Cricetulus griseus: one gene and its partner. The protein of the gene in region 1 interacts with the protein of each later gene in a biochemical or structural test. Links are inferred from orthologs where the notes say so. Each region holds a gene or a part of one and is shown on either strand. Other genes may lie near its edges. The genes, in order: Drap1 and Dr1.

Region 1 (16,085 bases):
TGTGGAGGTGCGCACTTTTAGTCCCAGCACTTGGGAGGCAGAGGCAGGAGGATCTCTGAATTCGAGGCCAGCCTGGTCTACAAAGTGACAGCCAGGGCTACACAGAGAAATCTTGCCGGGCGGCGGTGGCGCACGCCTTTAATCCCAGCACTCGGCACTCGGGAGGCAGAGGCAGGAGGATCTCTGTGAGTTCGAGTCCAACCTGGTCTACAAGAGCTAGTTCCAGGACAGCCTCCAAAGCCACAGAGAAACCCTGTTGAGGGAGGAATGAAGAAGAAACCCACAGGAACAGTTGACCTGAACAAGGGAGAGCACATGGACCCCAGATGCTGTCAGGGAGACCAGTACAAGACTGATCCTGACCCCTGAACATGGATGTCAATAAGGAGGCCTCTGCACTCCAGGGAGCCTCTGATGATGGATTAGTATTTTTCCCTGGTGCAAGAAGGGACTTTGAGAGTTCATCCCACGTGAAGGGTTACACTCTGGTCCTGGACACATGGGGAAGGGCCCAGGACCAGCACAAGAAGATTTGGTGGACTTTGCAGAGCCCCCATTGAGGGCCCTACCCTGCCTGGGGAGTGGTGGGTGGATGGGGTGGGGGGTTGGGGTGGGGGAGGAGGGTTGGGGGTGAGGGGAGGGAGAGGGAGAAGGGACTTGAAATAAGCTTGTTCCCTAACTAGAACTAATAAAAAAAAAAAAGAAACCCTGTCGAAAAAACAAAAAAAAAAAAAAGAAATCCTATCCTAAACTCCCCAACCCCCAAAGAACATTATTTGTTGCTTGCACCAGGCTTGACTCTGAGTTGGGTGCTGAAGATGCCCTGAGGATAAACCACAGTCACTGTCCTTGAGAGTTCCCAGACAGATGAGAGCCACAAGTAGAACACGGTTGGGGAGCTAGTGGGTTTGAGATGTACCATTAGCTAGGAGAATTGGTATCAGGCATGCGATTAGAGGCTATCCATCAACAAATGCACCAAAGTGAGAAAGGCCAGAATGTGGGGGAAAAAAGCCATATCCATATTCTAAAGCAAAAATGAAAACAGGAGGGATTTGCATGAGCTGGTTCTGAGGCAATTGCTTCTTTCATTTAATAATCTCTGAAGAGGGTTATTCTGGGCTGGAAGCTGAAATGTTGACACCGCCCTGCCTTAGTCTGGGTCTGTGGTTTGGGGATCAGCAGGGGACAGCTAACAACCAGGTGATTGCTAAGTAACTGATGGTTCTGTGTTCAGACAGAAGGAAGGCCTGAGGCCCCATGCTCTTGCAAAGGTGATGGAGGATGTGCCAGTTGGCTTCAGTGAGTGGAGACAGATGTGCCGAAGGACTGCTGAGACAGCTGCTGAGGACCTGGCCCATGCCAGCTCAGGAGAGCAGACCTTGTTCCTCGTTGCTGTAGAGAACCACAGGCCTTTCAGTAGGAATGTGAGCATCTCTACAGAGGGATCTGTGGATCTGGCTGGGGGTGGGGACAGAGAAGGAGATGTGGGGTGGAGGAGCCAAGTTAGTGGCCGTTGTCATAGTTTGGGAGATACTGAGGAAGGGCAAGGGGCCAGGCAGAGCCAAAGAGATAGAGGAGGGATGTGTCACGCTTTGTTCGGGAAGAAAACCTGGGCTGTCCTTACCATGTGGTGAGAACACAAGACTTTGCTGGGATGACACACCCCTGCCTAGGGAAAGTTGGCCCACTTTTGTCAAGTGCAAAGCATAGACAATCAGGCAGGCAGGGCACCTGGCTCTGACTCTGAGCTCTGGGGACTTCCCAGATTTGGGCTGAGGTGGATTCAGTACTGGGGAAACTCAGGGTAGGGAGGAAGCTGGGGAGGGGGGTTAAGCCAATGTCTCATGACTCAGCCACTTCCACCCAGTCAGCCCAGTGGCATCTCCGCTCCTCTGCTCCAAATTCCAACTTGATGAGGCTGCTGCAGGCTGAGTCAGCGCTGGCATGGCACGAGAGCAACATCTCAAGGGGCTCTCTGCCAACACTCCTAAGCCCCAACTAAGGCCAGGCCAGGCACTGGTTTGGGGAGACAGGGTGATGCAGAAGCCAGGCCCCTGAGGCTACACAGCTGTGCAGAAGAGGATGGTCAGATCATGTGTGTCCATGCTCTGTGGGTTGTGAAGGTGTCTCTCTGGGTCAAGAACCACACTCTGACTGAGGATGAGGGAGGGATCTGAGGCAAGTCCCAGCTCTGCTCACTCACTGAATCACCCTGCATTATACTTTCTCTTCTTGGTCTCAACCCCCCTCCCTTTTTTTGATAAGTCTTGTAGCTCCAGTTGTTTGGAACTTGCTATGTAACACCAAGCTGGCCTCTAACTCCCAGAGATCTGCCTGCCTCTGCCTCCTGGGTCCTGGGATTAAAGTTGTCCACCACACCTGGTGGTAATTCCTTGACAGCAGGATGGGGTCAGCATCTCCTTAATGAGGTCATGAGAACTGAGTGATGCATGTGGAGGTAGGTGCTTTGTAACCATGGACATTTAGGCTATTCCAGCCCAGGGGCCTGAAATCCAGCCCATCTCTGCTTACAAAACTGTGACTAGCCTGGAACTGCAGAACTGAGAGAGTGTTTTTAAGTCCTGAAGCATGCACATGGTGGTTCAGACCTGTAATCCTAGCACTCAAGAAGCTGTGGCAGGAAGAGCACAACTGTGAGACCAGATTGTGCTATACTGTTCCAAAAATGCCAAGTCTGTGGGACAGAGGGACTGTGGATGTAGCTCAGTTGGCAGAATGTTTAGCAGGCACTAAATCCCAGGTTTAATCTTGGTCACTGCAGAAACCTGGGTAGCACTAAACTGGGTGTGATGGTGCACACTTGTAATCCCAACACTCCAGTGTAGGTAGAGGATCATAAATTCAAGACGAACATGCCTTTAAACCAAGAACATGGGAGGCAGCAGCAGCAATTGAGTCCAAGGCCAGATTGGTCTACACAGCCAATTCCAGGCCAGCCAGAGCCATATAATGAAACCCTGTTTTTAAAAACAAAAAGATAGCAGGGCGGTGGTGGCACAAACCTTTAATCCCAGCACTCCAGAGGCAGAGGCAGGCAGATCTCTGTGAGTTCAAGGCCAGCCTGGTATACAAAGCTACTCACAGAAGCCTTGACTCGAGGAAAAAAAAACAAAAAACAAAACAACTGAGATAGCTTACTAGATAAAGGTACTTGCCTGACCAGAGTTGAATCCTTGGGACCCACACTGTTAAGAACTGACTTCTCCAAGTTGTTCTCTGACCTCCAAATGTGTACATGGGACAAACTAGTCTCTACATCCACCCAAAAAGTAAATTTATATTTTATCGGTTTTAATAGTTTGTAAAGATTCATTTTTGTGTATGGGTGGGTGTTTTGCCTGTATGTATGTCTCTGTACCATGTGTGCAGTGTCTGCAGAGACCAGAAGAGGGCATCTTATCCCTGGAACTGTAGTTGGAGATGTTACTAGCCATTACGAGAATGCTGGGAAATTAAATGTACTGTCCTCTGGAAGAGTAATCAGTGCTCTTAAGTGCCTAGAAAAGTCCCCAGCCTCTTAACCCTGTCCCTGCTCCCCTGAGCTCAAAGAGATCTACCTGCCTCTGCCTCCCAAGTGCTGGGAATAAAGGCTATGAACCTTTTTTTGTTTGTTTTTTAAAGACAGAGTCTGTTATGTAGCCCAGGCTGTCCTGGAACTCAATATGCAGACCAGGCTGGCGTTGAATTCAAGAGATCCACCAGTCTCTGGCTCCCCAGTGATGGGATTAAAGGCATGTGCCACCGCGAACATAATTTTTTAAAAACCTAAAAGTTGGGGATACAGGCCTTTAAACCCTGCACTTTGGGAGGCAGAGACAAATGGATTTCTGAGTCAGAGGCCAGTTTGGTCTACACAGTGAGTTCCAGACCAGCCAGGACTACATAGTAAGACCCCCACCTCAATAAAACTTAAAAGTCTAAAACAAATACAAAGGTCAAAGAGTAGCCCCCTTGCGCCTTCCTGGAAAGACCTACAAAACTAGTTCTGATCCATGGGTTACAGGAGATCAGCTTTGTAGAGGTTCTCAGAAATGAAACCGCCTCAGCAGTGAAACACACCATCTTCATTGCTGAGGGAGGAAGACAAAGAAAGCCTGGTCAGGTCAGAGACACTTGCCTCTTCTGGCCCTGCCTTTCCTGGGAGCCAAAGCAGGCAACCATCAGGACAGTATTAAAAAAAAAAAAACCTCAAGACACAGACCCAAGCTGGGTTTTATTGAAATGCCAGGAGCAGGCACACGTCAAGGTAGTCAGGGAGGGGATGTTGGTGATGCGGGCTATGAGTTTGCAGGGAGGAGCAGGCCCTATGTCCATGACCCTGCATCCTCTCTTGGCCAGACATATATAGGCCCCAACAGCATGCTCAGTCCTGTAGGGGCCCTGCCACCTGGGCTACAATATCACCAAGGGCAGGGACTGGAAGCACTAAGTTTTCTCCCTTATGAAGGAGGAAAGAAAAGGAAGATGCAGGTTGAGTATAGTAGGGGACAGAGGTGACCAGGGCAGGCTTTCTTGAGCATCTGCACCCAAGCTGTGGTCCTGGGCAGTGGCGGGGAGCAGCATCAAAGAGGGCGGCTGAGGGCCCGGCCCTCAGGGAGCCAAAGCCCCCAGCCTGTGGGGGCTGGAGTCAACCCGGCACAGAGAGAAGTTCAAAGGGACCGAGTACAGGCAGTTCCCAAATCAATCAGTCCTCAGAGCTAGGGAGTTTGGCCTTCTTGGGACAAGGAAGAGAAGAAAGAAGGATCCATCCCCAGCAGGAGAGCAAAAGTTGTTCTCTCCCATGTGGCCCCACTAGGTCAGTTCTACATTGTTGGCACGGTCCAGCACTCGAGAGCCACGGGCATTGCCTCCAAGCTGGAAACGGCTCTCATAGAGAGTGGGGCAAAGGTGCCAGCGGTTGGCTCGGTAGATGCCCAGGTAGGTGTAGACATCAGGTTTGTAAGTGAGCAAGCACTTAATGCCCGCAGCACGGATGGCAGAATCTGCCTCCAGCACTCCCAAGCGGTCCGTGAAGTCGTCCGTGTAAACACAGATGACCTGGCGCCCACCCTCCTTGGCCCGTGGGCTCACCTTGGCCACCTGAAGACGGCCCTCAACTACAGCCCTGGCAATGCCAGCCCAGGCATGGTCCAGCTTGAAGCCAGGTGCCAAGTGAATCAGCCACTTGCCAGAGAGCACATGGTGGGTGATAGCCAGCTGGCGCAGGGTACCTGGCGTGATGGGCCGCCCACTGGTCTGCAGAGCCTCCCAGGCTGCCTGCAGCCCTTGAACATCCCCTGAGTTGGGGGTGTAACCCTGCCCATAGGCTGCAATCCAACCCACAGGTTCAGAGTTGGGTGAACCCGGGTCCCCATAGCGAGTAACTTGAGATGGTGGGTACTTGGCCAACCAGGCATCCAGCTCTGAGGCAGGTGTAGTACGGGCATCAAATACCAGCCAGGGGTCCATGTCGGCTGCCATGGCCTCTGCAGCCAGGTGCTCAGCAGTGAAGCCATCCTCACGGCCACCGGGAGAGTCCTCCTCTTCCAACTCCTCATTTGGTTCCATCCTGTTGTGAGGGAACTGAGTCATTGGAGGTTTGAGAAAGTAGGTACAAAGTGCTGGGTCCTGGAGGGTGCCAGGCACTGCTAAACTGTGTGGCCTTGGGCAAGACTTAATATCTGTGCCTCAGTTGCTTCACGTTCACGATGGGATAACAACTGATCCTGCCTAGATTTGTCTCCTAGAATAAAATGCCTGAGGTGGAGTCGCTATTGTTAGTACTACTTGCACTGCTTACAAACAAGGAAACTGAAACTTTATAGAGAAAAAAGGTCACACCTATAGTGAGTGAACAGCTGAAGTGTGAATTGGCTACTCTGCCACACCTCTTGACTAGAGACCAGCAGGTAGCATGGCTCTGCGATTTAAGCAATATAGGCAAAACGCAGGTTTGTTTGCCAACCCTAAAAGGTGGCTGTGGAGGGCCAGGCCTCCTCGGTCATCTATTTGGGGCCCATTTAAAGACCGAGACACTGAGGCCTAGAGAGGGCAGGACAGCGGCCCACTGCGGTCAATGGGCGCCACCCAGACTCGAACCTCATCTGGATGGAGCCCGCGGGAGGGCCAGGCTCAGTCCTACCACACCCGCCGCCATTAGTGCCCACAGCCTACGGGTTGCCCCCACCCCGGGGCTGTCCCTCTCGCCGCCCCGCAGTCACCTTCGGCCTTCGCTCCGTTCCGCACCAACCCAACTTCGGGCCCGGCTCCGTTCCTGCCCGGGGTCCGCGCCGCCACCCGCGCCGCGCCCCGCCCCTGCCACGGCCGCCGCCGCCGCCGCCATCTTAGGGTCCCGCCACCTCAACAACAACTTTATAGACAAACGCAGTCACGGGGCGGGGCCAGAGGCGGAACCAGCCGCGTGGGGGCGGGGCTCCATGAAAAGGGGCGGGCTGCGTCAGGGGCGTGGCCAGCGCGAGACCCCTGGGAGGAGCCGGCCTGCAGGGGGCGGGGCCAACGTTCGTACTTCTAGCTTGGGGGCGGGTGGGCGTGGCGGGCGAGCCCTGAGAAGGACGCGCTCCGCCTCCGAGGCTCCAAAAGCGGAGCGCCTGGGTCTGGGGAGCTGCTTTTCGACGGGCGGCGCTAGGACCCTGCGGGTAGCGGCGGGGGCGGAGCAGGCGGCAGCAGGACCCGAGGGGACCGCGGCGGGCCGGCGGCGAACAGGCCCCGAGCCGGTAGGCTGCGGGCGGCGGCGCTGGGCCCGGCGCGGCGAGAGAGGCCCCGAGATGCCAAGCAAGAAGAAGAAGTACAACGCGCGGTTTCCGCCGGTGAGCACGTGGCTGGGCCGGGCCTCAGCGGGCCGGGCTCCCGGGAGGCTCGGGCCCAGGTCCTGCTGGGGGTGGGGGTGCGGGTGCCCTTAGGTGTTCGCGGCCTGAAGCCCCGCCCCCTCCGTGCTCGCCTGGCGTGGTGCCTCCCGCCCCCTTCTCTCGGGGTGCCCCTTTGCTGCCCCCAGCCTCCTGCAGGGACGCCGGCGGCCGCGTCCGAGCTCTGCCCCCTTCCTTCGGCAGGCGCGGATCAAGAAGATCATGCAGACGGACGAAGAGATTGGGAAGGTGGCGGCTGCAGTGCCTGTCATCATCTGTATCCTGCTAGGGGGCTGGCTGGGCTGAGGGGCGTCGGGCGGGACTTCGGCACTCCGCTTCTCGGGTTCTCCTTGACGCCCCTCAGCGCGGGCGCTCGAACTCTTCCTGGAGTCCCTGTTGAAGAAGGCTTGCCAGGTGACCCAGTCTCGAAATGCCAAAACCATGACCACGTCCCACCTGTGAGTGGCCAGTGGCCGCAGAGCTGGGAAGGGCTTATGAGGAGGCAGTGTCCTGACTGGGGAGTGGTGCAAGGCTGAGTGAGTTTGAGCCAGTTTGGTGGGTTTGGACTGATGTAGGAGGGATTAGGTGTTCCAGGTGGAGGGAATAACGAGAGCCAAGCCCTCGAGGCCGGGTGGAAGTGGGGAGGGGAGTTTATCATTTTCCAGTGTCATGACAAGAAAAGGCTGTTTCTGTCCTTCCGGAAGTGTTTGGGACCCCTTTGAACGCCTTTCTTTCTCACTTCTTCCAGGAAGCAGTGCATTGAGCTGGAGCAGCAGTTTGACTTCTTGAAAGACTTGGTGGCATCCGTGCCTGACATGCAAGGGGATGGCGAAGACAACCACATGGATGGGGACAAGGGTCCTCGAAGGTGGGTAGCCAAGACCAGGTATATAGGTGGGAAAGGCCAAGGCCTCGAGGGTTGGGGGTGGCAGGGGGGTGAACAGGAGGAGAGAGTCCTCTGGGCAGATGGACTGCACCTTCCCGAAGGGGCCGGAAACCAGGCAGCAGTGGCAGGAAGAATGGAGGCACCGGAAGTAAAGCCAAAGACAAGAAGCTGTCTGGGACAGACTCAGAACAGGAGGTGAGTGAGGCCAGCTTGGTCGGGAAAGGCAGCCTGCACCTATCCTTATCTATGACCTTTTGTACCTCTGTCTCCATGTATACATTTTGAAGGCCTATCTATCCCTGCGCTCCTAGGGTCTGGGCTCCCCAACCATGGGCCCAGGCCTTCTCTCATGAACCCTGACCCCTTGCTGTGCTCACAGGAAGAGTCCGAGGACACTGATACTGATGGAGAAGAAGAGACACCACAGCCTCCACCCCAAGCCAGTCACCCCCCTGCCCCCTTTCAGAGGTATTCAGCCCAGGGACACCAGAAGGGGACATGCCAAACTTCCCAGAGCCAATTTTCACTTCCCTAGCCACTTGGTGGTGGTAGTAGTGATGATTGATGGTGGAGGCTCACTTAGGGAGTGGGAATGTTGTGAGGTCTTGTTCCCACTGTAGTTGGGAAGAAAACCTGGACAGTGCTATTCTCTGGGCCCTTTTCTCCTGTGTGTGTTGGGGGGGACAACACTTGGCTCCTGTGACATAATGGGTGATTTATACCACATCTGGTTCTGGAGCATGGTGGCAGGGCCTGTGGGTTGGGCACAGCACGGCACAGTAGCATGCCCTGATTTTCTCCATTTTCTGCCCTGCAGCCCTCCAGCCCCCTTCATGCCCTTCACCTCTCCTCTGCCTTTGCCCCCAGCGCCCCCTGGCCCCTCAGCACCTGATGCAGAGGATGAAGAGGACTATGACTCCTAGCATTCACTGCCCCTGACCCCAGGCCACATACCCCTTTTAGTTAGTATTAGTTGCTCTGGGGAGAAGATTAAATTTATTAAAAAAAAGAAAGAAAGAAAAGAAAGAGGATTTTGGTTTCTTTTCCGTCCTTGTCCAGGGATTCGTGGCTGCATTCTTACTGCCAACCTACTTACCTCCCCACATGGGGCAGCCAGGGACAACAGTGGGCCAACCAGTACCTGAGTAAAAAGTGGGGAGTCTGGGTACTACCAGGAGCACTGAAGAAAGGAAGGTGGTCTAGGGACTGAGCGGCCACATGCTGGAAGTGCTAAAGGTTAACCTTTCATTGTGCTGTGGAGCCTTGGGCAGCCTTCTCTGGGCTGCTGAGAGAGGATAGATGGGATCAGTACTGAGATTGGGCCTTGAAAACTATAGAGCTCTGCAACCAGTGCAGTGAAGGGCTCAGCACAGTGAAGAGTCGGGTAGATGAGATAGCAGGGGGACTGGGAAGCAGCTTTGGAGCCAGGCAGTCTGCCTACCTGTGTTTGAGTAGGCTGGGCAGCCTCAGTGCCAAAGGCAAGAGGTGTAGCTTCAAGAAGCTGCAATCATGAGTAAAGCAGGGGACATGGCCATGTGGGGTTCCTGAACCCCCCAAAAAAAAACCTCGAGGGAGATTGTAGGTCCATCTGCTAACAAGCTCACTGGCTTCCTCCTAATGGGGGTGTTGAGGGAACCTTGGGGACATGCTAGGTGTGTGGATGAGGATGGTGGTGGCTGGGGAGGCCCAGGCCTGTGTGACCTTAGGCTTGAAGGCAGGCTTCAGAGGTCTAAGGGAGAGTTTCTGTAAGTACCTCTTCTAGCTTTCTTTAGCTCTTTGGCAAGGGAGGGACTTTTTCAGCTGAGGGACACAGGAGGAAAAGACAAGATCTCAAGTTTGGCCATGATGAATTTGGGGTGCTCTGGAGGTCACTGAAGGAAGTGTGGATTGGTGATGTTGACATGGGCACCCAGAGACAGGTATATGAACTTGGAAGGGAAGGCAAGACACAGGAGCTGCCACACCCTGAGCTGTCCCGATGGTCTGGTAGAAGGGAAAGGACAGTTGTCAGATGCTTTGGGCAAGGAAGAATCCCCAAAGAGGATTCTTAATGTCTGCTTCAGTAGTTACTGAGGGGGAGGGAGCTGAAGCCATGCTGGGGCTGAGGAAGGACTACAGGAATGTAAAATGTGTACTATGTGTATGGGTAACTTAATGCCTGCATGAACAGAGGACAGAAGAGGGCTTTGAATCCCCTGGAACTAGTTACATATGGTTGTCAGCCACTTTGTGGGTCCTGGTGAACCCTGGTTGTTTGGAAGAGCATGCTGAGCCATGTCTCCAGCCCCCTTCTTTTTAAGATGGCAAAAGGTTTGGATAGGATGAGAGGCACTTGCCTAACACTCACAAAGCCCTGGCACTGCAAAAAAAAAAAAAAAGAAAAGAAAAGATTTTAAAATGACAGAATCTTAGATATTCAGAGAGTATGGGGCACGGGACAGGAGGGGGACATCAGAACATGGGGGAGAGAGGATAGGGAGGGGGTTTGAAGTGAGCATTGAGGAGCAGTAGCTTAATGGAGACTGTGAGGCAGGATGCAGTCACCTGTGCTGTGTGAGAGAAGACCACAGGCTAGGGCAGGGTTTAGGACTTGAGACATAGCAATGGTTGGATGCTGGAGACAGACCTGTAAGGGTGCTCCTGTGACTGCTCCACCCCAACCTGAGGTGTGGGCAGCTGGCCCCACAATTGAATAGACATAGAACATCCTGGTGAGTCGGTGCCACAATTGGGCCACAGTGACTGCTGTAGGGTTGGCGTTGATCGTCAGCACACCTGAGCTGGTGATGCTGGTAACCTGCCCACTCCAGCGGTTGAGAGACACGTGTGGGCACTGAACCCTGAGGACACTGGTGCCTGGTGTGCCTGCATTTCCTAGTCACATGAGCCAGGGCTTCCTCCCACTCCTTACCATCTATGCCTGAAAGAATTCTCCGGGTAGCATGGGGATTGTAAGGTGTGTGTGTTTTAGCTGCAGATGGAGGCAAACAAATGGGACACCATAGCACAGGCCATGCCTAGCAGGAGGGAGTGGAGTTAGAAGAGGGAGAGACCGCAAGAGCCTGTCAAGTAAAAGCCATCCAAGGAGTTGGTAGCTGCTCATCTACTCCATTGCCATGCGCGCGTGCGTGCGTGCGTGCGTGTGTGTGTGTGTGTCAAAAAAAAAAAAAAAACAACAGTGAAAAAGATGGAGGACGGGGCTGGGTGTTGGTGGCCCACACCTTCAATCCCAGCACTCAGGAGGCAAGAGGATCTCTATGAGTGCAAGGCCAGCCTGGTTTACACAGCAAGTATGAGACCAGCTAGAGTCACATAGTGAGACCTCACCTCAAAAACATGAGTCTTTGTTACAACAGATAAACCTTTTATAGATCATGGAAAGCAAAAAAGCAAAACACATACATTGGGTGATGTAATGCATTTAAATAAGGTTTTAACAGGGCTGGAGAGATAGCTCAGCGGTTAGGAGCGCCGACTGCTCTTCCAGAGAGCCTGAGTTCAATTCCCAGCAAACACATGGTGGCTTACAACCATCTGTTATGAGATCTGGTGCCCTCTTCTGGTGTGCAGATATATATGGAAGCAGAATGTTGTATACATAACAAATAAAATCTTTTTTAAAAAATAAGGTTTTAACAAATAAAAATTAAGAGGCCAGGGATGGCAGCACATGCCTATAACACTTGCCCTTGGACAGAGACAGGAGAATCCCAAGTTCAAGGCCACTGGGCTATACAATTTTGAGGCAGCCTGGCTGGGCTATAAACTAAGAGGCTATTCAAAAAAGTTCAGGGACTGGCTGGGCGCTGGTGGTGCACACCTTTAATCTCAGCACTCGGGAGGCAGAGGCAGGCAGATCTCTGTGAGTTCCAGGTCAGTCTGGTCTCCAGAGCCGAGTTCCAGGACAAGTGCCAAAGCAGAGAAACCCTGACTGAAAAAACCAAACCAAATGAAACAAAACTAGAAAGGGTAGATGGGCTGCTGAGAGTAACGGGTGAAGGGAAGTCTGGGGCCAGCAGTGGGAGTATTTCTGTCTTTAAAGTTCGGATAGTAAGAGCTTCTCCTTTAGGGATGTATGCAATTTGACACCTGAAGTTCCTGTCATGGAACCTGGCACAGCACATAGTGTGTGTCACCCATGGTGTGACAGTTAATCTTGACTGTCAACTTGGTGGAATTTAGGTCACCATGGAAACAAACATGAGCATATCTTAGATTAGGTTGAGGTGGAAGACCCACTGGAAATGTGGACAGCACCAACCCGTGGTTGAGGTACTGAACTTAGTAAAATGGGGAAGCCAATTGAGCATCAGCATCCATCTCTGCCGACTGTGGCTGCAATGTGACCAGCCACCTAACACTCCTGCCACCATGACTCCCCAGTCCTGTTACACTGTGCCCCAAAACTGTGAGCAAAAACAAACCCCAAACTACTCTTGTCAGGCATTTTGTGCTTGCAACAGGTGATTAGTGTACCCGTGCATGGACATCAGTGCCTGGAACCAGATCAGAAAAGCATGAGGGATACTCTGGGAGGCAGGGAAGAGGAAATTCAGTTTTCAGGGTTCTGTTAGCCCATTTAGTCCAACCCCCAAGACATCACCGTCATTTAAAAGTTAAAATTAATGTGCTTTATCTGCATGTGTGCCTGTGGGTCACTTGGTAGTGAACTGCCATGTGGGTGCTGGGAATCAAACATGGGTCCTCTGTCCTCTGATAGAGCAGCCAGTGCTTTATCTGCTGCGCTCTCTCCAGCCTATTGTCCTTTAGAATGAGTTAAAAATGATTTATTCTGTTTGGTTTGGGTTGGGTTGGTTTTCAGAGACAGGGTCTCTCTACATAGCCCTGGCTGTCCTGTAACTCAGGACAGGCTGGCCTCCAACTCGGAGATCTTCCTGCCTCTGCTTACTGGGTGCTGAGATTAAAGGTGTGTGCCACCACCATCCTGCCTTATTTTGTGACCTTTTAGAATGAGTTAAACATACCCTCCTATACAGGCAGGGTGCTCAGTGTTGCCTTCTTTCAGTCACTCAGTGTATTTGCTGAGCACCTACTTGGTGTACCTGCCCAGCTCCTGTTCCTAGAGGTGAATCAGGAGACTGTCCTGCTTGTATGACAGATGGCTTTGACAGGACTGAGGAGCAGAGCTTAACATCTGGTGTCTGGTGTCAAGTACTGGGCAAGAAGAGTCTCGAGGACTGGAGTGAGAGAGAGAGAGACCTCCCAAGTCCATCCTTTGTCCTAGGGACTCAAGGAAACTGTTGGTGAAGGGCCCAGGTGCCAGTTCCCGGGGCTGAGGCAGTGGTCCTTGCTTCCAGCCACAGGTTCTACCTTAGCCACTATCTAACTTGGTGTCCAGTATTGGATTTGCTTTCCTTCCTGATTTCTTAGACTTGTCTTTTATGTACACCACACTTCAAAAAAACAAATAATTAAACTATGTAGCACTGCCTGGCCTGGAACTTGCTATGTTGACTAAGCTGGCCTCCTCAGAGCCCTGCTGACCTCTGCCTGCCCCCACCTTTTGCTGTTGTGAATAAAGCTACTCTGAACATTGTGTGGGTAGAGTCTCTGCTTTTGTTCTTTTGCTACATTTGCATGCTAAGTGAAATAGCTAGATAACACGGTGTGGTGGTTTGAATGACAATAACCCCCACAGGCTCATAGATTTTAATGATTTAGTTACCAGTTGGTGGACTCTTTAGGAATGATTAGGAGGTATGGTCTTGTTGGAGCAGGTGTTGTCACTTGGGGGTCCCACACCAGGCCCAGTCTCGCCAGCACTCTCTCTCTCTCTCTCTCTCTCTCTCTCTCTCTCTCTCTCTCTCTCTCTCTCTCTCTCTCTCCTCTCTGCTTGAGGATCAGGATGTAAGTTCTCAGATACTCTAACACCAGTCCTACTTGCCTCCTGCTGCAGTCCCTGCCATGATGGCCATGCTAACTCTCTGAAACTGTGAGCAAGCCCCCAGTTAAATGCCTTCTTGTTTTTGTTTGTTTTGTTTGTTTGTTTGTTTGTTTTTGGTTTTTCGAGACAGGGTTTCTCTTTGTAGCTTTGGAGCCTATCCTGGCACTCGCTCTGGAGACCAGGCTGGCCTCGAACTCACAGAGATCCACCTGCCTCTGCCTCCCGAGTGCTGGGATTAAAGGCATGCGCCACCAACGCCCAACCAAATGCCTTCTTTTATAAATCGCCTTGGTCATGGTGTCTCTTCATGGCAATAGAACAGTAACTAAGACACATGGTTATTCTATATCTAATTAACCTAATTAATTATATTTATTTTTTATGTGTATGAGTGTTTTGCCTGCATGTCTGGGCTTCAGAGGTCAGAGAGGGCTCTGGATCCTCTGGAACTCGAGTTACAGAAGGTTGTGAGCCCTCCTGTGCTGGGAACCAAACCCAGGACCTTTCAAAGGCAGACACTGCTTCTAATCACTGAGCCATCCCTCCAGTCTCCCTCTCCACCCCACCCCACCCCCTTTTTTTTTTTTTTTTTTTGAGACAGTGTCTTCTCATAGCTCAGGTTGGCTTCAAACTTACTATGTAGCCAAGGGTGATATTGAACTTCTGATGTTCCTGCCCACTTCCTGAGTGATGACATTACAGGTGTGCCTCACCATACCAGGCTAAGGGATCTTACTGCTGTGCCCTTCTTTCTATTGTGTTGATCTTTGTGTTGTTTTTCTTTAAGGTTTGTCCTTATGCTAGTTCCATGCTGTCTGACTACGGAAGCTTTTTTTTTTTTTTTGAGACAGGGTTACTCTTTGTAGCCCTGGCTGCCCTGGAACTCTGTTCTGTAGATCAGGCAGGCTGGCCTTGATCCGTCTGCCTCTGCCTCCTGAATTCTGGGATTAAAGGCACTACTGGAGCAGGGCATTGGTGGCGCAAGCCTTTAATCCCAGCACTCGGGAAGCAGAGGCAGTCGGATCTCTGTGAGTTCGAGACTAGCCTGGTCTACAAGAGCTAGTTCCAGGACAGACTCCAGAGAAACCCTGTCTCGAAAAACCAAAAAAAAAAAAAAAAAAAAAAAAAAAGGCACTGCTGGGCTGACTGAAGCTTTTACCAAAACTTTCAGATCAGAAAATGTAAAATATGTCACCTGATATTTTTAAAAAAGATGTATTTAATGTATAAGCATGCTCTATCTGCATGCATGCCTGCACACACAAGAGGACACCAGATTTCATTACAGATGGCTGTGAGCCACCATGTGATTGCTTGAAATTGAACTCAGGATCTCTGGGAGAGTAGCCAGTGCTCTTAATTTCTGAGCCATCTCTCCAGCCACCACCCCCACACCCATATGTTTTTGTTTCAAGACTGTTTGGCTATATCCTGGGTATCCTGTCCTTTGAGTTTCAATATGAATTTTAAGGTCAGCTTATCAAGACCTGGAAGGATAACTGAGATGTTGGGGTTTTTTTTGTTTTTGTTTTTGTTTTTCCTTATTTATTTGTGGGGGGAGGGCAGCATGCACAGGTGTGGAGATCAGGACAATTTGAGAGACTCAGATCTCTCTGTTACCCTGTGGGTTCCTGGGATGGAGTCTGAGTCATCAGGCTTGTCTGCCAGTGCCTTTATCTATGGAGCCATCTCACCAGCCCCCAATGGAGGCTTTGACAGGGACTTGGAAGAATTGTTTTGTGGAGAGTGCTACTCTCTGGGATTGTTTTAGGGACAGATGATTTTCCTTCTGGTTAAGAATTACATTTTTGTCTGGTGTGGTGGTGCCTGCCTTTAACCAGCACCCCAGAGGCAGAGGCACATCAATCTATGAGTTCTAGGCCAGCCTGGCCTACAACAGCTTCCAGGCCAGACAGGGCTTCACAGTGAGACCCTGTCTGAAAGCACCTGAGTTACCTGAAAGGAGCAGTTTTCAGCCTGTGCACTGCCTGCAGGCTGTGCAGTGAGCTCCAGGATCCCAGCTTTCGTGAGTGGCTTCCCATGCTGGGGTGGCCTTTCTTAGCACAGCTGGTTTTGACTCGTTTCTGCTCTAGTAAGTAATCCCTTACCCGTACTGGTACCATACTTTGGCCTGTCATTGCTTCTCTATCTGGGATGAGAAGACATTTCTTCATATCCCCCTAGGAATAATGTCCTACAACAACCCTGATTCACAAAAAGGAAGGCAAGGATACTTGTCATGGTGCACTTGGAAATCAGAAGACGACATGTATCTGTCCTCTTCTACCATGTGGGTCCTTTGTCTTTCATGTGGGCATCAAAATCAGGTCATCAGGTAGCAAGCACCCTTACCAACTGTGAGCCATTGAGTCAGCCCCCCACCCCCACTTCCTTACTCTGCCTTGCTAAAATCTGCAACAGCCTTCTT
Region 2 (15,426 bases), on another chromosome or scaffold:
GAGCTCCCCGACCCCGACACCCCTCCCGGAGCCGCAGCCTTCCAGAGTCGAGGAGTTTTAAAAAGTTGGGGCTCGAAAAGCCAGGAAGGTACGATGGCTTCCTCGTCTGGCAACGACGATGACCTCACTATCCCCAGAGCTGCTATAAATAAGATGATCAAAGAGACTCTCCCTAACGTCCGGGTGGCCAACGACGCCCGAGAACTGGTCGTGAACTGCTGCACTGAATTCATTCACCTTATATCCTCGGAAGCCAACGAGATTTGCAACAAGTCGGAAAAGAAAACGATTTCGCCGGAGCACGTCATACAAGGTAAACCATTGGTGTGGGGCTCGGCTTGAGCGAAGGTCCCAGGCAACAACTTCGCTAACAGTAGGTAGCCACTTGGCGTCACAGAGCCCTTATTCCATTTCACGAGTAAGTACTGTTAATGGAAAAGTCACAAATGGCACAGAGACAGCTTGTCACCTTAAGAAAATACCCGTGTGGCATTCTTGGGACACTTTTTCATCCAGCTAGTATTGCAAATGAGGAATGCAAACGTCCTCAGTACCAACTAGTGCAGGTTGTAGTAAGGTCTTAACGCAACAAGTAAAACGTGGATGGTAACAATCGAGAAAGGAAACAGAAAGTTCTCTCCCAGCAAGTTAAATTTTAGATAGACCTTCAAGCATGAGTTGAGCCAGAGAGAGAGCGCTTTTCCGCACCTGACCCTTTTTACCATAGTGGAGGGAAAGATTCATGTGGAACACAGATCAGTGGCGTCTCGTTTACCTAGCACGAACAGGTCCTGGGTTTGATTGCCAGCACTGAATTTAAAGAAATAAAAAGGAATTAAAGTTTATTGCCTTCCAAAAAGGGAGTCTAATTTTGCTTCTTAAAAAAAACATGGTAAATCCATCATCACCAGGTTACCAAAGTACTCCTGTAATAGAAAGGCAAGTGCCACATTTTTTTCTTTTTGACTCCCTCTGACTTTTGATTGTTTTGTTCTTTGAAAATGTTTGAAAGCTTGTTTTGAAAGTTTTGCAAAAGATGCCGGCACTCCCCGCCCCGCCCAGCCAGTACTGGGCCTTGAACCCAGGGCCTGACACATGCTAGTCAGCACTTCTGAAAGTTTCAGCAGTTTCTTCCTTATCTTGGAAAAAGTTTGCAGTAGGGATTTGGGAGTCTGCATTTTGATGGTTGCAGAGAAGGGGAAAAGTACTTTTAGCAATTTTGGAGGAAGTGCTCTCTGTGGCTTTTCATGCAATCTAACAGAAAGTCAAATTCAGTTTGAGACAATAACTTCTATTTTGTAATAATCTAACATTTCGTGTTTACTTCTGAAGTTAAGAAAACAAATTTAATCAAACAATGCAGGTAGTTTATCATTGCCCTTTTATAATTTAACTTTAAATTTTTTTTACTTTCAATTTCCTGTTAAGGTGAAGTGGACAGCACATCTGTCCACTTCAGATTGACCATATCCATTTTTCCACTGTCAGAATTGACAAAGATCAAATGATTAATTTTGAGCCTTTATCCTGTGCTGAAGGTAGATTTAAAGTACACCCTGCTGTGTTTAAGTTGTCTCTTAAGGCTGAATACTTATCATGCCAGAAGTCAATCCTAGTAAGGAGTAGAGCCACAAGATGTGTGTATGTACATATACACATGTATATGTATATAAATAATTGTATTACATACACGTGTACTCTGCCATTTCAGTACATTGTAGGTAACCCCTTAAAAAAGCAATGTTTGGTTTTGTTGTTTTTTGTTTTGTTTTGTTTTTGTTTTTTCAGGGTTAGAAGCAGGATGCTAACAGGATCTTACTGTGTAGGCTAGCCTAGATCTGTATGCAAGGTCCTCTTCCCTCAGTCTCTTGAACACTGAGATTATGGGCATGCTGAGATCACCATTCCCTGCTGCTTATTTGATTATTTGTGTGTATGTTAAATTTAGGGCCTTAAATATGCTAGACAAGCACTGTACTACAGAGCTGTGTTCCCAACCCACCATTTTGAATCTCGAAACTGCCCCCCCCCCCCCTTACTGGTTTGGTTTGGTTTGCTGAGTGGTAAGAAAAATGGAAGCCTGTTATCTGTTTTTATTTTTACGTTTTATATATATGATTGTTGTCCTAAATCTTTGAGAAGATTATCTAACAAATAGCTAAAATTCTTAAAGGAAAAGACATCACTTTTTAATGAAAACTGCAAAGGATTTCAGTAGGATCTGCCTAAACATTTGTTGGTACCACGAAAGTGATGATTGTTCCAAAAATCTAATAACAATCTGTCTTCTTGGGGGAAGGTTCATTTTTGTTTCCTAGGATATAGTTAGAGCTCTGATTGAATAAAAGTATAGCTGTAGCAAGTGATGTGCTAATAGTTCAACTTTGGAATATGCTAACTTCAGTTTAGTACATGACTCAGAAAGCTAACAGTGGATGGCTATTTGCTGTGATGATGGCGATCTACTGATGTTAAAAAACTGAATTGACCTGTTGGCACTTAAAATTTACCTTTTTCTTGTAGTGTTGCCATTAAGTATGTAAGAGGGGCTGGAGAGAGGACTCAGCAGTTAAGACCATTGACTGCTCTTCAGAGGACTCGGATATAATTCCCAGCACCCACATGATGGCTCATAAGTGTCTGCAACTCCAGTTCTAGGGGACCCCACACACAGGCAAAACACCCAATGCAGCCAGGTGGTGGTGGTGGCTTACGCCTTGAGGCAGGTGGATCTCTGTGAAGCCAACCTGGTCTACAGAGTTCCAGACCAGTCAGGACTACACAAAGAAACCCTGTCTCAAAAAAAAAAAATTATGTAAGAATTTCTATAGTTTTCCCCCAATTAGTATAAATTTTATGCATTTGTAATTTCATATATGTCTTAAGGATGTTTTTTTTTGTCCGGTTTTGGCTTTGGTTTTTTCGAGACAGGATTTCTCTGTATAGACTGTGCTGATCTTGAACTCGGAGATCAGCATGCCTTTGCCTCCCTAGTGCTTTTTTTTTTTAATTGAAATTTATTTATTTTATAAAATACATCAGAATTTTATTGCTTGGAGAATACAGCATATGAAATCACAAGAACATCAAAATGAAAAGTCACTAGGCTTCAAACACAGAATACATTACCAGATGCAGTAAAATATTAATTAACTTGAAGTCCCTAGTGCTTTTTAAAATAGTTTTATTTTCTTGTATGTGAATGTTTTTCTTGCCTGTGTGACTGTGCATTGCCCACCAAGGAGGGTATTGGATCCTCTAGAACTGGAGTTACAGGTGGTGGTGAAGCACCGTGTGGGTGCTGGGAATTGAACCCAGGTCCTTTGGAAGGACAGTCGGTGCTCTTAACCTGAGCTATCTTTCCAATCTCCAGATTTCCACTTTTTTTTTTGGGGGGGGGGTTTCGAGACAGGGTTTCTCTGTGTAGCTTGGAGCCTATCCTGACACTTGCTCTGGAGACCAGGCTGGCCTCGAACTCACAGAGATTCACCTGCCTCTGCCTCCCAAGTGCTGGGATTAAAGGCGTGCACCACCAACACCAGGCCAGATTTCCACTCTTAACTGTTACAAACAACAACCATTGTAACAAACTCTGGCACAAGTACTTGAACAGTACTTTGAGTAGCTTTGTTCTAAAGCCTAAACTGTAATGTATTTGGAAAGTGGATATGAAGTAACTTTTGAAATCAGAGAAACTGAGTGATTTGCAAAGAAGTTACAGAAAATAAGAATGGTACATGCTGTGTTACCTAAATAATACCAATATTTGAAATTTGCATTGTAAACTATTACATGATTGGTTGCTTTTTACAGCAGGATTTTTTGGTTTTTCGAGACAGGGTTTCTCTGTGTAGCTTTAGAGCCTATCATGGCACTCACTCTGGAGACCAGGCTGGCCTCGAACTCACAGAGATCCGCCTGCCTCTGCCTCCCGAGTGCTGGGTTTAAAGGCGTGTGCCACCAACGCCCGGCTATAAGTCTGTCAGTTTCTTAAAGAATACAAAAAAGGGCAAATATTTGGAATTTACTGGTTAATGACATAGTTTGTCCCATTACAAAAAAGTAGTCTAGGAACACATACATATTCATTAAGTTACAGAAAGATAGGATGAAAGAATAGTTAAGTTTTTCTTTCCTCCAGTATACCAACAGAGAGTGTGGTAATACACGAGTGTCCCTATGCTGAGGAGGCTGAAGTAGGTGTCTGGGCTATTGAGATTCAAGAAGAAAAAATGTGCAGGTCCCTTTAAAGTACACAAATCAGCCTTCCCAGCAGTGATGGCCTCCCTGCAGGAACATGCTTCTGGCCAAAGATTTTCATTCCTCTCTAGAAGACCAGAGGAAACAAAACAACAAAAACCAGCTGTTGCAGAGCCCCAGCGCCTACTTCACAGATATGAAATGCCCAGAGTACACCAGTCTTTCTCATGTGCTGGCTGCTCCACTGGTCTCTCTGTCAGCCTGCGGGAGGCAGAAAAGAAGGCTGACAAAAGGGGCTGTTTCAGGAAGCAGCAGCACTAAAAGCAGGTACCTCAGTTAACCTGGGTAAGGATCAGCCTAACCAATACATTTTGGGTTAAAAACAACATACAAATCTTTATTCTCCAGTTCCGTATTTGTAGGCGGGAAGAATGTCACATTTTTCACTTAAAATTCAGCAAGATAATATAGGTCAAAGTAGATTCTTGCCTCACTGGACGGGCATGAAGACCCCTGACAAGCATGACAAGCATGGCATAGTACTCCCAGAAAACTAGGAAACACTTCAGGACTGAGAATTGTCTATTTCTCTAATCTAACCAGTTTCTAGCACAATGCTAAATGCTTGGTAATATTCAGTAAGCAAGTGTGGGTCAGTGGGAGAAAACAAAAGCCTCGGGCGGTGGGCGTGGTGAACTTGCCTAACAAGCAAGAGGCTCTGGGTTCAATTTCTACTAGCATTAAAAAAAAATCATTTTAGCCGGGCGTTGGTGGCACACGCCTTTAATCCCAGCACTCGGGAGGCAGAGGAGTGGGATCTCTGAGTTCCGAGGCCAGCCTGGTCTCCAGAGTGAGTGCCAGGATAGGCTCCAAAGCTACACAGAGAAACCCTGTCTCGAAAAACAAAACAAAAAATTAAAGAGGGAAAAATTAAGGCCTGTGCCTTGAAATGTTCCATTAGCTTTCATGCTATAGATGAGCATGGGGTTGGAGAGCAAAAGTAAAACTTAAAGAATAATGGTTGATTAAAAATATCTTGTCTTAACCACCCAGTAGTTACTAAATAACTGCCTCCCAAGAGGAAACTAACACAAAAAAGTAAATGTTTCCTAAGTGAGAGAGAGCCATAGTTTTCACCTTTCACATTTTCATTTCTGTAGCACTAGAAAGTTTGGGCTTTGGCTCTTACATCAGTGAAGTAAAAGAAGTCTTACAAGAATGCAAGACAGTAGCACTAAAAAGAAGAAAGGCCAGTTCTCGTTTGGAAAACCTTGGCATTCCTGAAGAAGAATTGTTGAGACAGCAACAGGAATTATTTGCAAAAGTAAGTAATATGCTTTAAATTATTTTCATTGGAAATTGACCAAAAAGTCACTTCAGAGGATTCTTCCTCCAGCTCATTGCTTGTTACAGAGTCTAATGTTTAGAACTTGACAAGTTTGACTCTGGTTCATGTAAAAACAACCAGTTTTCTTTCTTTTCTTTTCTTTTCTTTTCTTTCCTCCTTCCCTCCCTCCCTCCCTCCCTCCCTCCCTCCCCTCCCTCCCCCCCCTCTCTCTCTCTCTTTCTTTCTTTCTTCAGAGTTTCTTTGTGTAGTCCTGGAACTCAATCTGTAGACCAGGTTGGCCTCACCTTCCTCTGCCTTCTGAGTGCTGAGGTTAAAAGGCTTGTGCCACCACCACCCAGCTGCTACTAGATTTTATTGAGTGGAATACAAGGAAAATCTGGTAACATTTTCTTTGTAGCAAGGTATCAACCTGTAAAGCTGGTTTTGAATTTAATAGGAATTGTACCACCAAGTGTCACTGCATTTGAGCCTTAAACATTAAGCACAAGATACAAGTACTGTTTAATAATAGGGGCTAGAAAGAGTTCTAGTTAAGAATGCATACTGCTCTTCCAGAGGACCTGAATTCAGTTCCCAGCACTCAACATTGGGAGGCTCCGAGAAGATCCAACACCTTTGCCCTTTGAGGGTGCCAGTACTCATATGCACCTATCCCCTACAGATCCACACACATACATAAATAAAATGACAAAATCTTAAACTAATAAAAATGTTTCCAATATTTACTGAGTTCTAACCATTTGTTAATGATATTACCAAGCAATTTGTATATATTAGCTCATTTAATTCTCTCTTGTGCTTTCATACTTTAGCAAATATACCTGTTCTTCGGAGATCTGAGTTTGGTGCCACTTGATTGTTCCTTAGACAAGTTTTCATTGTTCCACACTCTTCTTTTGTTCCCAAATTAGACTGGTGACTGCTGCTTGTAGTTGACATCACCTAGTGTCTTAGTGTCCTTTTGCTTTTTCAGTTGCTTCCTAGTGTCTTAGTGTCCTTTTGCTTTTTCAGTTGCTTGTTATCAGTTTTATGTTTGGTTAACAGTCTTTTTTCTTCTTTAAATTAGTTCTTAGAACTAATGTTAATTCTCTCTCCTGAAAACACCTTGACTCATGCAGGAAGGAGAAAATGGTATTTCAGTTTGACTTTAAATATTTATATATTAGTAAGTGAAAATTAGGAAATTCCAAATAGACTAAGTATAAAGAAAGACAATAAAATGTAAAAGTATAGCATACATTTGAGAAACATTTTATGCTCTGGGATTTCTTTTGCACCATGAGGGTATAGAATTATAATAGGAACTCAGAAGAAAATATCAGGGTAGCTGTTGTATTTGCTATTTCCTAATTGTACTGGAGACCTTTTAAGCCATAATTATGTTCATATTAAAATTATAATTGAATGGACAGAAAAGAAAAACACAGCAAGAAGAGCCAAAGAGTTACTAATGTTACCCCCCCCCAGCAATTTTTTTTTTTTTTTTTTTTTTGGTAGCCCTGGCTGTCCTCAAACTCTCTCTGTAGACCAGGTTGGCTTTGAACTCACATCTGCCTGCCTGTGCCTCCCAAGTGCTGGGACTAAAGGCATGTTCTACTGCCTGGCTCTATCAACCTTTTTTAAAAATACATATTTATTTTTATATTATGTGCATGAGTGTTTTGCCTGCATGCAAGTCTATGTAGCACATGTGTGCATTGCTTGCAGAGTCCAGAAGAGGATGTTGGAGTCCTTGGAACTGGAGTTTTAACAGATAGTGTGAGCTGCCATGTGGGTGCTAAGAATTAAACCCAGATCCTCTGAAGAGCAGCATGTGCTTTTAACTGCTGAGCCATCTCTCCAGTCCCTCTGTTTACCTTTTCAGTTTCTTCAACTGAACTAAAAATATTAAGAGTTCTTGTTTTCTAGATATGTCATAGTTAAAGAGTACTTGGAAAATATCTACATTTGATAATAAGTCTGTTAGTTACACTTAACCACAATGTGTACACTTGCTTCTTTGTGTTTTTAATTCTTAGGCTAGACAGCAGCAAGCAGAATTGGCTCAGCAGGAATGGCTTCAAATGCAGCAAGCCGCCCAACAAGCCCAGCTGGCTGCAGCCTCAGCCAGTGCATCCAATCAGGCAGGGTCTTCTCAAGACGAAGAAGATGATGACGACATCTGAAATTCACCATCTTGGCTTTTGTTTCCTCTGTAAGAAAACAGTGAAAGAAGTGCTTCTCTGTAACTGTATATGCATCTCGGTGGACTTACCATTGGTATTCTAGAGTCGTCTGCTGTTCAGGTTTCAACTACTCTGCTATACTTGTAAAACTGTCTCTTTGAACTATTGAAAATTTGAGGTTCAGTGTAAGATCAGCTTTGAATTTGTAATGGTGTTTCTGGAATCGAAGAGCAGTGTGAACCCTTTATTTGGTCAGTGAACAGTATTACAGAAAGCATCAGGTTATAAAAATACAGTGACATTTACACAGATCTCTTCATCTGTATTTGCATCTTCTCTGCCCTTTTAACTGAACTAAAACTGAGAATTTTATATTGAGATGAGGCATGGTGTGAGGCAGAATACTTTGAATCAGGTTGGTGGAAAAAGTTCAGTTCTGTATAGTACTTAAATGTTTTTGTCTTTTAAACTGAGTGTATATGCAGGCAACAATTATATATGCTCAGATAAATAAATATACTTGCTAAGAGAAAAACTCAAAGAAGACATTCAAAAACTAAGAAGGAAATGTATTCACTGGTAGTTGTATAAATTTGATGAGTTATGTTTTTGATTTTGTTACTCTTTTGTGTATCAGTAAAAACTAGTTTTATTATAGTATAATTTATCTACACTATGCCATTTCAGAGACTGGCTAATCTTGAAGATTGTCATGATTCTTACTATTTCACTCCAGTTCAGTAAAATTGTTCATAGTATTACTTGCTTCAGTCATTCATGTTTATGTCGTTTGAGTATATAGGTAGGACTTGTGAAACAGTTGCTTGGGTTCCGTTGGTTTAACTGAGGCTCATGGATATTCAGACCTTTGCTAAGGGAAATAAATGAAAGCTAATGAATATGATTGCTATGAAAGAGGGCTTTAAAAATATTATTTAACATGTAGTTTACTTATTGTTTGGTTTTAGCATAACATTTACATTTTCTTGACTAGGTGGCCTAAAGAGCCCAGTGCTAACTTTTGATATGACATCATTGTCCCCATCATCATAATTGAGTGATAGCTTTAAAAGTTTTGTGTTTGATTAAAAAGTGTCATAACTGACCAGCCCTATATGAAGTGTTAACTTGCTGTTAAAAGTGAGCAGCTTTAATTTGGCTTCAGTGACTAAAGTATGGTAGTGTTTGTGAGAGGGTTCCAATGTAATTGCAGAAATTGTGTAAATGCCACCTAAGGTAATAGGAAGTCATTAAGTTCCTGTGTCAGTTGCCAAGTCATTTAAACTTCTGTATTCACCAAGCCCCAAGAGATTCTAGCTGCCAGGATTTTAATTTTATTTGGAGAGCTAAGTAAAGTTTATAAGTATTAGATTTCTTAATATTCATATTTTGCAGTTTTAGAAAAAGGGAAATATTGTTATGCATTTATCAGATAGATATACTTCCCCAGTATAACAGAAAAGGTAGTAAAAGAGTAGTAATTTTTCTGAATGCTTTATGTTGAAGTTATTTCAAGGTATTTCATGGATATGCCCATGAAATGAAGTGTTTGGAAAAAATAGAAGGAATCTTTTTTTCTTTTTTCAAAAAGGTTAAGTACCAAAGGTAGGTAGGTAGTTTAGTCTACAAAAATAAGTTAGTCACTGTTGGCTTTTCTAATTTGTACTGTAACATTCTTTTACTTTGTTTTAAGTGTATGTTTCTCAAGTAAACAACTTAGGTATTTTTCCATACCTTTTTCTTTCTGATGCAGACTTCAGGTTAATTAATATTTTACTGCATCGGGTAATGTATTCTGTGTTTGAAGCCTAGTGACTTTTCATTTTGATGTTCTTGTGATTTCATATGCTGTATTCTCCAAGCAATAAAATTCTGATGTGTTTTATAAATTGTTTTTGTATTTAATAATTATGGGACAGTCTCTGTTACCCTTTTCGATACTTTTGACATTGATTGGTTATTTAGTATGTAGTACCCCTTTCTCATTACTGCTGTTTCAGAAAACATAGTTTACCTTCTTTTTGTAGTGTCCAGATAGAGGCACAACAGAGCACATTAAGCAGCACCTTGTTTTAGCATTTAAAAGTCAGAGTTATTTGTTTCTCTAGTCATGAGAATGGGTTAGTCTTAGGAAATAAAATCCCTACTTTTTGTTTTGTTTTGGTTTTTGGTTTTTGTGTTTTTCTTGTTTTTTCGAGACAGGGTTTCTCTGTGGCTATGGAGGCTGCCCTGGAACTAGCTTTTGTAGACCAGGCTGGTCTCAAACTCACAGAGATCCGCCTGCCTCTGCCTCCCGAGTGTGTGCGCCACCAACGCCCGGGTAAATCCCTACTTTTTGAGGTATAAAGTTACTTAATAAATATTTTCCCATCACAATACATATTTTTCCAACAGGCTGTAAAATTGTTATATTAAAAAGTACTTTTTTTTTTTTTTTTTTTTAAGACAAGATCTTGCTCTGCAGGTCTGGCTGTCCTGAGAGTGGCAATCTGCTTTCCAAGTTTCAGGGTTGTACATGTGTACCACCACATATAGCCAACAGGGAACCTATTTCTAAAACTTTGTATACCATATATACAGGAGAGGGCACAGATTAAAGTTTTGCAAACCAAACATAGTCTTCAGATAAGAACAGGACATTATGAATACCTTCAAAGTTCTTGTTCCTGTCTGTCTCTCTCTTTTTTATTTCATTTTATTTTATTATTATTATTATTATTTGGTTTTTAGAGGCAAGGTTTCTCTGTGTGGCTTTGTAGATCAGGCTGGCTTCGAACTCACAGAGATCTCTCTGCCTCTGTCTCCCTAGTGCTGGGATTAAAGGTGTGTGCCACCACCCAGGCCCTCTTTTTTAATGTGTTTGTATAGGTGATTTCCCTACAGGTATGTCTGTGTCACACTTGTTTCTGGATCCTTAGAACAGTTACAGAAAGTTGTGAGACACCATGTGGATGCTAGGAATCAAATCCAGGCCCTCTGGGAGAGCAGCCACCTCTCTAGCCCCACAGCTTTCTTTTTCTTTTCTTTTTAGACATGGCCTCACTGTATAGCCCAGGGTGGACTTGCACTTACAAAAGGCCTATTTGCATCTGCCCCTCAACTGCTGGGATTAAGGACATGTACCACCCTGCCTGGCTCTCAACAGTCCTCTCCTTTTCAGAGCTATAAATTATTTTTGCCTTGAAAAAAAATTCTAGGTGAATGCAGCCATATATAATCTCTTTTTTGTTTTCCATTTTTGTGATTGTAACCTTTTATCTGTAACAAGTACTTAATGACTTAAAACAACACATATTTATTCTGTTACAATCCTACAGATCTGAAATCTTAGTCAGTTTCATTATCCCAAATGACGGAGTCTGCAGGACTGGTTCCTTCCTCAGGGTTAGATTTGATGCCTTACCACCTTCTACTGGCTTCCTTATGCTTTACCTTCTTCCATGTCAAAAGCCCGTTTTTTGTCACCACACTGTTTTCTTTTTATAGTCAGGTCTTCCTCTACCTCTGTATATTCCAAGGTGATTTTCCAGTCACAAGGTCATTTAATTACATATTTAAAGTCTTGTTTCCCAGATAAAGCGATATTCAAGGTTCTAGAGATGAGGACCTGGGATGTCCTTGTTCAACCTCTCAAAGTAAAAATTTACCCATATTGTTGATGTAGTTGTTTCATTCTTTTTTTTTTTTTTTTTGGTCTTTTCGAGACAGGGTTTCTCTGTAGCCTTGGAGCCTATCCTGGAACTAGCTCTTGTAGACCAGGCTGGTCTCGAACTCACAGAGATCCACCTGCCTCTGCCTCCTGAGTGCTGGGATTAAAGGCGTACGCGCCACCAACGCCCGGCTTAGTTGTTTCATTCTTAAATTGCTATACAGTATTTTTCCATTTAAAAAAAATAAAGGTCTTACAGAATTTATGTTAGGGCAGTCCAGTTTGTAATTCTAATCAATTAAAAATAGTGCTGTGGAGAACATTCTTGTCTTTTGGTGACTTCCGTACACTACCATTGAGTATATCTAGGAATGGAAGTACTGAACACAACTTGTGCATATTTCAGTTTAATATGTATTGTCATATGGTTTGCAGAGTGCTTCTACTTAGGTACCATTTAAAGTATACTTTAGTAATTAGTTGTCCTGTAATGGTTTAGCAGCCTAAGAGTATTTCTCAAAATACCTAAATTATAAATAAGTGAATTATACTTCTAAAGCAGGTCTTTGTTATTTACCATCATGTAAGAGGAAAATAAAAGCAAAAGTGAGCTGGAGAGGTAGCTCAGCAGTTAAAAGCCCTGATTGCTTTGGCAGAGAACCTCCATTCATTCCCAGCACTCACACGGTGGTTCACAGCCAACATTAGCTACTGTTCCAGTGGGTCTGATTTCCTGACCTCCTTGGGTACCAGGCGTGCCAGTGGTGCAAATAATGCGTGCATGCATGCATGCATGCATGCATACATACATACACACATTCAGGCAAAACATTAATACACATAAAAATAAAGTGGATACATCTTATTTAAAAAAAAAAAAAAAAAGCAAAAGCAGCTGATAAAATGGCTGGTTAAAAGCAAGTGCCGTGAAAGGCTGACATCCAATCCCTGGAGCCTATGGAAGGTGGAGGGAGAGAATTGACTGTTCAGAGCAGATTATGACTGGAGGTGATGGCGCACACCTTTAATCCCAGCACTCAGGAGGCAGAGGCAGATGGATCTGAGTCCAGCCTGGTCTACACAGTGAGTTCCAGAACAGCCTCCAAAAGCTACAGAGAAACCCTGTCTTGAAAAAACAAAAACGAAATTGAAATTATTTAAGGCATTCTTATTGGCATAGAAGTATTAAGCACTCATATTATTCTCAAAAGGAAAGCAAATATTAGGTATTTAAATGGTATTTTGAATTGTAGAAAACTGTAACTTAATTTCTTAAATTTTTTAACTTTAAATACACAGCCATTTCCTCATATTGGGCTCTAAATGATACCTAACCAACCCAAATGACCATCAGAAAGAATTAATCCAAATAGCAAAGATACTTTTTTGCTTTTGAATCTTTGTCTCTAGGTTTTTGGCTGTAAATCCCAGTCAATTCCCTACCCTTTCTTTCTACTGTGCTCTGGCCCACAGACTAAGAATGGTTCAGGTGAAGAGCTATAGCCAAATAAGTGGCCTTCTAATACTCAGGTCAGCACTGGTCTCTAATTTTTCCAGCCTGCATATTTTCTGGTTCTATGAAAGTGAGATAATCATGTAATTTATCAAGAAACTGGAAGCTAGTTGTATTTCAAGAAGGACAGAATTAGATGACAAAATTGCTGAGAGGGCTGGAAGGGAAAAAAGTCATAGGATCACCCAGGAGCTGCTGCTTCTCTCGGAGCCTGTTGTCATTTGCAAAATGCAAATCATAAAGGAACCCATACTACCCATGATTTTAACAAGACTGTGCTCCTTTGGGTCCACACTATGAGGAGCCACTGTTAAGCCACTGCCCAGGTAGAGAATCCAACTGTTCAACAAATTGATGTGACAGTCTGCTGGCATTCCTCCCTGAATGCACCACAAGATTGTTTCTTTGTGTTGATAGTCTGGCATTAAGCTGACCCCCACCCCTGACACCTGGCAGGATAAGCACACCAGCATTCAGGCAGATACTTAGATGGCTCAAAGGGCCCTGCGTTATGTGGCTGCGTGAGGATGTACGAATGGGCAAGCTTTCCCCTTTAAGCAAGCGCCTTCCACCTGTTCCCCCTCCCATCTCTGTCCCTAGTTGGCCAACACCTACACCTCCTTTTGTTCCCTTTCCCCAAGGGTCATTTAAGGGGTTGTATGGAAATAATACAGTAGAAGCTTACAAAGATATATACTTATAAGTTTTTAAAACTGAACTTCCATAAAGGCCCAAAATGCCACAGAATGAGGAAAGACTATTATCCAACATATAAAAATAAATAAGTACATTTAAAAATAGCCAAGAACTTTCCCAGATATTTCATCAGAGAATGTATGTAGATTCCAAATAACCACATGAGGATATGTGATTGTGAAAATCCAAGTTAAAATGATAATAACTTACTATCACTACTGCTGTGATGACACTGACCAAAAGCAAACGAGCTGAAAGGGTTTATTTGGTTCACACTTCCATGTTCATCGTTGGAGGAAGTCAGGACAGGATCTCAAGCAGAGTAGGAACCTGGAGGCAGGAGCTGCTGCAGAGGCCGTGGAGGGTGCTGCTTCCTGGCTACTCCCTATGGCTTGCTTATCCCAACTTCTTTATAGAACAAATTGTACATGGAATGTAGGCCCTGTGCTCAGGTAAGCACCACAGAAACCAGGGACATTAAACAGAGAGGGTTTTCTCTCCAAAGGGAGAGATGTGTAACTTGTTTTCCTCCCAGAAGGTTGGGAACAGATGTGGTGAGTAGCCTGGTGACCTTTGACTGTCTGTGTAGGAAGGCACACTGGCTCCACAGATCCTTATCTTGAGCTTGCTTCCTCAGTTAATCTACAGAGCTCATTTTCTTTATGGGAGATGTTACTTGGACCTTACAAAGTTTCAGTGTAGTTATGTCTTAAGCTTTGTTGTGTTCCTTAAGAAAAATGTCTGCTCATCCACAGCTAAACACTGATCTGAACTGGAATCCAGTTGCAGAGAGGGAGGAGTGATGAGCAAAGGGGTCCATACCAGGCAGGTGAAACCCACAGAAACAGCTGACCTGAACAAGGGGGAGCTCTTGACCCCCAGACTGATAGCTGGGAAACCAGCATGGGACTGATCCAGACCCCCTGAATGTGGGTGTCAGTGAGGAGACCTCGGAAATCTATGAGGCCTCTTGTACTTAATCTCTAGCATAGGAATGGAGTTTGGGAGCCCATTCCACATAGAGGGATACTCCCTGAGCCAAGACCCAAGACACACGGGGGTTGGCCTAGGCCCTATCCCAAACAATATGACAGACTCTGAAGACCGCCTATGGAAGGCCTCACTCTCCCTGGGGAGCAGAAAGGGGATGGGATAGGTAGAGTGTTGGGGGGGGGGGCAGGGAAGGAGGGGAGGGAGAGGGAACTGGTATTGACATGTAAAATAATCTTGTTTCTAATTTAAATTAAAAATGGAGGGAAAAAAAGAAAAGAAAGCTGTCTGCTCTGGGTAATAAAGGAAATATTATAAAAACTACCTCAACATGCAGGTCAGCACAGTGATCTCTGGTCATTGCCATTCACAGCATCTAAGTGTTCTCAACAATGGTCCATTTGGCCATCATCCACTTCCATCCTTCAAGGGTGTCTTCTTTAACAGGCTCCCTCTGGCCATTGCTCATTGTCACCCTCGGGTGCCTCATTTAATCTACAATAACACTGCCTGTCCTTCACACTGTGCTTTTTTTGTCTTGCCCAAATTCACCTGATGACAATCACAAGTGTCAGGGATCTTTCGGGGAAGGGGGAGTGAGACACTAGAGGTGTACTCTTCAAAGAGACAACTGGGAAAAGAAAAGGAGAAGTATAATGGAGTAGAGTAGCCAGGGGAGAAAGAAATCACTAACTGGAAGGATCGTTTACTCAAAGGTAACAAGGGGCATATTCTTTCAGGAATATGTGGGACCTTCTCCAGGAAGACCACTGACTAGGATGCCATTTAAATCCCAAGAGACTTTAAAGGACACTCATCATTCAAAGTGTCTTTTCTACCACATGGGACAAAGTGGTAAATAATA

Evidence for each region.
Region 2: the proteins of Drap1 (region 1) and Dr1 form a complex in vitro, tested with the Homo sapiens proteins (2 studies listed by BioGRID). The link is inferred for Cricetulus griseus from reciprocal best matches to the Homo sapiens genes DRAP1 and DR1.

Annotation. Positions count from the first base shown.
Region 1 is NC_048596.1:53,908,155-53,924,239, forward strand, and holds Drap1 (dr1-associated corepressor), read left to right. Parts: upstream 1-6,582; 5' UTR 6,583-6,788; coding exon 6,789-6,830; intron 6,831-7,070; coding exon 7,071-7,143; intron 7,144-7,230; coding exon 7,231-7,324; intron 7,325-7,614; coding exon 7,615-7,752; intron 7,753-7,832; coding exon 7,833-7,947; intron 7,948-8,131; coding exon 8,132-8,220; intron 8,221-8,569; coding exon 8,570-8,675; 3' UTR 8,676-8,780; downstream 8,781-16,085. Other genes in the region: CUNH11orf68 (UPF0696 protein C11orf68 homolog), read right to left, coding at 4,816-5,572, 6,225-6,346. UniProt on the Homo sapiens protein: The association of the DR1/DRAP1 heterodimer with TBP results in a functional repression of both activated and basal transcription of class II genes.
Region 2 is NC_048600.1:2,987,679-3,003,104, forward strand, and holds the end of Dr1 (protein Dr1), read left to right. Parts: 5' UTR 1-93; coding exon 94-313; intron 314-5,360; coding exon 5,361-5,524; intron 5,525-7,566; coding exon 7,567-7,713; 3' UTR 7,714-9,506; downstream 9,507-15,426. UniProt on the Homo sapiens protein: The association of the DR1/DRAP1 heterodimer with TBP results in a functional repression of both activated and basal transcription of class II genes.